Cricetulus griseus: one gene and its partner. The protein of the gene in region 1 binds, or shares a complex with, the protein of each later gene. Links are inferred from orthologs where the notes say so. Each region holds a gene or a part of one and is shown on either strand. Other genes may lie near its edges. The genes, in order: Nup205 and Cetn3.

The links.
Region 2: Nup205 (region 1) and Cetn3 share a complex: the UniProt entries of both Homo sapiens proteins name them as parts of the nuclear pore complex. The link is inferred for Cricetulus griseus from reciprocal best matches to the Homo sapiens genes NUP205 and CETN3.

Annotation. Positions count from the first base shown.
Region 1 is NW_023276806.1:192,733,854-192,737,670, reverse strand, and holds part of Nup205 (nuclear pore complex protein Nup205), read left to right. Parts: intron 1-37; coding exon 38-175; intron 176-1,678; coding exon 1,679-1,868; intron 1,869-2,963; coding exon 2,964-3,084; intron 3,085-3,817. UniProt on the Homo sapiens protein: Plays a role in the nuclear pore complex (NPC) assembly and/or maintenance. May anchor NUP62 and other nucleoporins, but not NUP153 and TPR, to the NPC.
Region 2 is NC_048595.1:302,231,832-302,235,748, forward strand, and holds the start of Cetn3 (centrin-3), read left to right. Parts: upstream 1-953; 5' UTR 954-1,071; coding exon 1,072-1,088; intron 1,089-2,284; coding exon 2,285-2,420; intron 2,421-3,917. UniProt on the Homo sapiens protein: Plays a fundamental role in microtubule-organizing center structure and function. As a component of the TREX-2 complex, involved in the export of mRNAs to the cytoplasm through the nuclear pores.

The DNA of each region.
Region 1 (3,817 bases):
AGTGCTGACTCTCCATCTTTTGGACTGTCTTATTTAGGAGAAGAAATCATAGCTTATAAGCCGCCTGGCTTCAGTTTGATGTATCATCTTCTGAATGAGTCACCGATGTTGGAACTTGCTCTCAGTTTACTGGAAGAAGGAGTTAAGCAGCTGGATACCTACGCACCTTTCCCTGGTATGTGCCTGAAGGTCTCTGTGACACCGTCATCTTCTGTACTGGAAGAGTATCTCATCTAATGGTGGTGTTTTCAGTGAGTCACTATGAGTGAAAATAGACTGTAGTACTGACTCTCTCACTGTGACTATCTCATCTCGTTCATGGTCATTGTAGGGTCTTCTGCAGGTTACTAAAGTGATCTTTCTATTGCTTTCACATCTTTAACATCCTTAACTCATGATACCTACAGAAACACGTACTGTGGTCTGGTTCATAGTGTCCAGTAAATGTTACTTACTTTCATGGGCACGACTATTTGTTGACTGCTTTCTATGCAGTTGGCTCTTAAAAGCATAGCGTATGTTTTAATCTGCAGAGAAGTCTTATGTGGCAGATCTCATTTATATTTAACAAAATGATGTACAAAAAAGTTAAACTGAGAGCTGGGATTTGATCCTAGGCAGTCAGGCCCCAGGGCCCATCTTCATGCTGTTGTGGTGTGTTGTCTTTCTTGTGGCAGTGGTCTGAAATAGGAAAGTCAGATTCTAAACATGGGGCTGTAATTATATAATTCATAGGTAAGAAACTGTAGAAAGAGTTATCCCAGCAAGTGATCCTTGATATATTTTCTGCTTTTTAGTTCCTGTAAAGAGTTTTGGAAGGGTTATTTTTATTTTCTGTGCGTGAACATTTTGTCTGTGTGAATTTACATGTACTGTGTGTATGCCTTATGCCTGTGGAGGCCAGAAGAGGATGTCAGCTTCCCTGGAATTGGAGTTACAGTTGGTTGTGAGTTACCATGTAGATTCTGGAACAGAACCCAGGTTCTCTGCAAGAGCCAAGTGCTTTTAGCCACTGGGTCCTCTCTTGAGCTTGCAAGCGCCTTTATTTATTTTTTACAATTGTTATATCTTAGTTGAAGTAAGTGTCTTACTCTCAGCACAGTTGACAATTTAGCTGATGGTTCTGTGTTGTGGGTGCTGTACTGTGTGCTGTATGCTCTGTCTACTGGCTTCCAGTTGTACTTCCTCGTTAGGACAAGTAAGAGTGTTTACAGGTGTTGTCAGATGTTCATTGGACACACATCACCCCATTCAGAGAGCCATCGTGCCAAATGGTGGTTCTCAACCTGTGAGTCACGACCCCTTTCGGATCACGTAGTAGATATCCTGCATACCAAATATTTACATTGCAATTCATGACAGCAGCAAAATTACAGTTATGAAGTTGTAAATAGTTTTATGGTTGGGGGGTCACCAAAACATGAGGAACTGTGTTAGGAAGGTTGAGAACCACTGCTCTAGAGGATCAAGGGCAAGACTAGAGAGACGCTAACATCTGAATAGCCTGGGTCACAGAAATAATTGCGTTTATGTAGGGAAAGCTATTGTGAAGGTGCTGTTGAAAAGTTTGTAAAAACAAGAGCTTTTTGATATTAAAACTTGCCTTTTAGGTGGTTTTCTCTTAAGTACTGTATGTTTCCAAGATTCATTTGGATTCTAACTTCACTTGGGTTGACAGGAAAGAAACACCTGGAAAAAGCAGTTCAGCATTGCCTTGCACTTCTCAATCTCACTCTGCAAAAGGAGAACCTTTTTATGGACCTTCTGAGAGAAAGTCAGCTGGCTCTCATTGTCTCACCTTTGGAACAGCTTTTGCAGGGAATTAATCCCAGAACTAAGAAAGCAGACAATGTGGTTAACATTGCCAGGTAAGTTCCATTTGTCAGTAGAGCAAGAGAATGATAGGGGCATTCTAGCTTTGATTCTCTCTCTTTTTTGTTGCATTTTAAAACATCACAGATTATTGGTTTTGGCCTGTTTTCATACTATCTAATTTCACCCCTTTGATTTTAATCACTCAGTCTTACCATGTCTTTTCTTCTTTCTCTTCATAGGTCATTCTATGTCCTATAAGTTTTATGTCCAAAATGAATAATGTTTGTTTTCTGTAGGGAAACTGAGTGTTTGGGGCTGGTGTGGGGATAGAGAGCCACCCCCAGTCACATACATGTGTTGATGTACACACATGTATATTTGCTAACATTCTGATGGTTTGGTGTTGTGTAGCTTGTGGAATCAATCCCTCACCTTCATATGATGTTCTGTGGAAGTGCTTCTGTCCATATATCCTTTGGTGAGGACACAGTCTTGTTGTACCCTTGTTTTAGTTATGTTTCCCATTGCTGTGATAAAACAATGTGACCAAAAGCAATTTGAGAAGAGTTTCATTTTGTAGCTCTCAGCTCACATTCCCATCACTGATGAAGTCAGGGAGGAACTCAAGGCAAAAATCTGGAGGCAGTACCTTAATCAGAAGCCATGGAAGAATTCAGCTTCTTCTAGCACCCAGGACCCTTCTTCTAGCACCCTGGGGTGGTACCGCCCATAGCGAGCTGGGCCCTCCCACAAAAACCATCAATCAGGAAAAATCACTGGCTTGCCCATGTCCCAGTCTGGTGGAGACATCTTCTTAGTTGAGGTTTCTTCCTCTTCCAAAATGATTCTGGCTTGTGTCAGGTTGACATAAAGGTAGCCCAGCGCCATCCTCTTTAGCCACCTTCTCAGTACTTGATTTATGTACTTGTGTGCGCCTACCTGACTGCGGCATCACCTGCGTACATGTTGTGCCTGTGGAGGTTGGAGCCTGTAGAGCTGGAGTGTGAAGCAGTTGCAAGCAGATGGAGGTGCTGGGAGTCAAACCAGGTCCTCTGCAAATGCTCTTAACCATGCGCCCTTTCATTTTCTGTATCGAGAGCAGTGAACAGCCAAGCTTGATCACACTGTTCCACATTGTTCTTCTGAAGGTATCTCTATCATGGGAACAGTAATCCTGAATTAGCCTTTGAAAGTGCCAAGATCCTCTGCTGTATCTCTTGCAATTCCAACATACAGATCAAACTGGTTGGCGATTTCACACATGACCAGGTAACTGATTCTGCTATTGATGCATTCTAGTGGTCACAATGCCTGGATGTATTGAATTTTTGTTTGTGGAATAATCCTCAAAAGAGTATGTGCATTCATAAGGGATAGGTGAGGAACTAGCCATGCACTTGATGGCCTTTTGTCATGATGCTGGGTTCCCTGCCTCTGTGTTAGTAGTAAGCTCTAATTCTGGCAAATCAGAGTGACCTCACATCTTCGTGAGTGCCCTTTGTCCTTGGGGTCACGGCACCACCAAGGCTGGGAGCCACTGTAAGTGCACAGGTGGCTTTGGAATTTGCCCTTTCTTCTCCTTTTGAGGATGGGTCTGACTGTGTGTGCCACACTGGATTAGAAGCTATGATCCTTCTTTGTCCTCTCCCTCCCAAGTGCTGGGTTTCAGGTGCGAGCCCCACCATGCTGAGCTTTAAATACAAGTTAGCGCCACTAATCGGAGCATACTGTTTCCTGACAGGTTTCTTTTTGGTTTCTCTCCTTCCCTTTTCTTTTTTTGTTGAGGCAGGATCTCATTAAGTAACCTTGATTGGCCTGGAACTCAGTATGTAGCCCAGGCAAGTCTTCAACTTAGACCTGTCTGCCTCTGCCTGCCAAGAGCTGAGATTGAAGGTGTGTGTATCACCCTTGGTCTGCTTTCTTTATTCAGAGCAGGCTTACTTCAAACTTAGATCATCGTACCTCAGCTTCTGGAGTGCTTGGATTACAGCTGCATGGCACT
Region 2 (3,917 bases), on another chromosome or scaffold:
AGGCAGTGGTGATGCATACCTTGAATTCCAGCTCGTGGGAGACAGAGACAGGAGGATCTCTGAGTTTGAGGTCAGACTGGTCTAAAGACTTGCAGGATATCCAGGGATGTTAACACTGAGAAACCCTGTCTCAAAAAAGCAACAACAAAAACAAACAAAAATTGTCTTGTTATTTTTCTGTAATTTATTCCTTCTAATTTAATTTTGTCCTTTGTTTCAAACATCTTCATGTAAATGGTTTATTTTCAGATTATCTAATAATTTAATATTTAATAATACCAGGTATTTTATTTGGTGCAAACATTCGGTTAAATGGAAAGTAGACTCCTGACTTTGATGCCATTCAGTTTAGCAGGTGAATGATCCAGGTGAGCTTCAGGAGGCCTGGTGGGTAATGAAGACCATGGGCACATAAACAGTGTTCAGCACTAGAAAATACAGGACAGAAGCAAACAAATACATCTCAAATCGCACACAAGTTGAAAACGGTGGTTTAGGTAGTTTTTCTGTAAATAAACTAACAGACCAACATAATGATGAGCCTACTTTAGTTTGTCTTCGGCCTTGGTGGTGCACATCTTTAATCCCAGCACTTGGGAGGCAGAGGCAGGCGGATCTCTGCGGTTGAGGCCAGCCTGGTCTACAGGGTGAATTCTTGGAATCACTTGGAAACGTTGAAAAGGGAAAACACTTGGTGGCTTAGTAGTTACTGAAATAAGAATGGAGAACAAAGCCCTCAGATTTACGTTTTGACCTTCTGAGTGGCAAGGGCTGGATCCCCAGTGACTGCTTGTGCTGAGCATTTTCCCTTCCCCCCCCAGAGCGCCCGAACCCAGCGTGGTGACTGACACCGGCAGCAGGGCCAAAGGTACTTGATTGACACGAACGGTGACCAATGAGAACAGAGGGCCGGCGAGGCTCCCGCCCCAATGGGCCGACTATTGGCAGTCTTCAGCCAATCGCAACCAGAAATCTCTGTTTGGTGGGTGGTCCCGCGGCCGGGAGGTTGGTGGCTGTTGAGCGGTTCCCGTGGAAAAGTCCTTGGGCGGAACATCTTGGCCGGAAGAGAAAATGAGTTTAGCTTTGAGGTCGGTAACGAGGAGGCCGTGTGTCCATTCCGCAGAGGGCCAGGGCGGGCGCGGAAGGGAAGCCGGGCCGGGCGCGGGTGCAGAGCGCCGAGCATCACGGCGGTGCGGCCCTTTTCTGCGGACTGCGCCGGCGCCGCATCGGGAGCCCAGTCTCGCGAGGTTTCCCTCCTGCGTGTGAGGAACTCGGGCCTGGCGGCCTCCTTCCTTAGGACAAGCGTGGGACAGCCAGGCTCTCTCCGCGGTCGAGGCGCCCTGTGCGTCGGCCGCCCCGGCGGATCTGGTGCCCTTGATTTCCGCCATTCTCGTCCAGGCACCCACCTGGCCCACTGGCTCCCATTGGCTCCTCACCCTGTCCATCTTCACGTGCAGGCGCTGTAGAGTGGGTAGACGCTGATGGCCCGGCGGGGGTGTGGCCCGGCGTGGGTGTGGCGGGCGGCCACCTCTGCTCAGCCCCTGCCAGCCTTCTGCCCTTCAGGTGTAAAGAGCCTACACACTCAGCCGTGTTTCAGGCTTTCAAGCTTCCATTTCTTAAAACCTAGCGGATACACGTGTTGTGCCTCATTTAAACATTGGCAGTCTTTAAGGCAGACGTTTTTGGCCCTAAATCCCTTTTTAGATGTTCTTTTACGCTTCTCCAGAGTTTTTAAATGAAGACGTTTAACCCATTGTTTATAGGTTGAGACTGACAACACTTTTAAACATCACACAGACTCAAATAGGAACATTATATGCTATTATTTTGGTCGTCTAGTATTTGTTTAGGTGCTTTTATATTTTGGCTGGTTAATATGGAATGAAAACACAAAGCACTGTTAGAAATGTATAATCTGAAAGCATTTTGAACTTGCAGTGTTAAAGTGACTCACCTTATAAGCTTTATGGTTAATCTTTGTAGTAATTGTGAGAATTTAATTAGAAGCTGTCCAAGGTAAACCATATATCGTGGTTGTCATTTGTGAAATTTACTTTCACATGGATTTTTATATTTGTTTTCATGCTCTTGGTAGGTAACATGAATAACAACTAATAGTGCTTTGGATTTTGGTATATAAAAGTACATTTGGAGTACAAGACGTTGACTTAGGGACAGCTTCTTTATTCTCCAGACTATTCTGCTTTGTTGAAGTTTAGAAAACCATTCTTTGTTCTAAGTGAGTTGGGTTGAAGTGGACTAAACACATTTTCCTGTGTCACAGAAGTGAGCTTGTAGTAGACAAAACAAAGAGAAAAAAACGAAGAGAGCTCTCTGAAGAACAGAAGCAAGAAATTAAAGATGCCTTTGAGCTCTTTGATACCGACAAAGACCACGCAATAGATTATCATGAATTAAAGGTAACAGTGTATTTGATGACACATCTCTTTTGTTTAAATGAATTGCACTTTTGACTGTTGCTTTAAAGTCTATTTTAAAAACTTGTTTTAGAACCCTGAAGCTGTTTTCAGTATCCACTTACAGGGGCTGCAATAAAATTGAATAAAAAACCCTAATATGGCTTTTAGAAACTCGTATTTAAATGTAAAAGTACATTTGGTGGGAAGTAAGGCTTTTTCATTCACCCAGGTGAAAGAACAGTTCTTAGCTTATTCTTCCCATTTTTGGTTTCTTCTGGAGGACGGAGTAGCTCAGATTCTTTAAAAAAAACATGTATGTGGCATGTGCATGTGCATGTGCCTGTGCAGGCATGTAAACCACATTGTGTAGTGTGTGGAAGGCAGAGTGGGGCTTTGTGTATCTTTCATCACCATCTACCTTACTGCCTGGAGACAGGGCACCTCACTGAATTGGAAGCTCATAGCCTAGGTTGGCTAGAGAGTGAACTCTGGAATCACATCCCGATCTACCCCTCAATGCTGGGGTTACGGACACTTGTAGCCATGCCTGTCTTTATGTGGGTGGTTACAGTTCCAGTTCTGGTCCTCGTGAGTGCAGGACAAGCGCTCTTATCCACTGAGCTATCACTTAAGCACAGCACAGACAATTTTCAGATTGAGAGAGTGTTACCTTTGCTCAGATGTTTCCGAGATTGAAAATGTATCCTTTCAAGCTTTTATTATTTATCTTTATTTTATATTTTTGTTGGACAAGGTTTCTTTATGTAACAGCCCTGGCTGTCCTGGAACTCAGCTTTGTAGACCAGATTGACCGAGAACTCAGATTTGTTTGCCTCTGCCTCCCAAGCGCTGGGATTAAAGGCATGCAACACCACCACCTGGCTCAATCTTTGAATTTTCAAAGATAATACGGACAAACTCTTATTTTTCTTTTCTTTGCTACAAAGGATGTACATTGTCTGATGCCTTATGTTGATACATGCTGAGGGACTATGTCAAATTTAAGGCTTAAAATTACTAGTAAAGGAGCTGGGCGGTTGTGGTGCACACCTTTAATTCCAGCACTTGGGAGGCAGAGGCAGGCGGATCTCTGTGAGTTTGAGACCAGCCTGGTATACAAGTTCCAGGACAGCCTCCAAAGCCACAGAGAAACCCTGTCTCCAAAAACAAAAACAAAAACAAACAAACAAACAAAAAATCCAAAACTACTAGTAAAGATTGGAGAAATTGGTGAGGATCTTATTCAGTCTACTAGCATTTATGAAATCTTTTAGTAGCCTTAATGTTTATAGTAGTTTTAATTCGGCAACATTGTAGGGGGGTTTTAAGCAATCTAAGTATGGGTAGGAACTATGTAGTGAGAGGATAGAATGTCTAACAGTAGTAATAGGCCTGGCCCTTTAGCTTCACTCTAGAGGTCATTCTTTAGCTCATTCCCCATCACACTATCCTGTTGTAGCTGCTGCTACCCATTCCCCAGATAGTGTGAGTTATTCC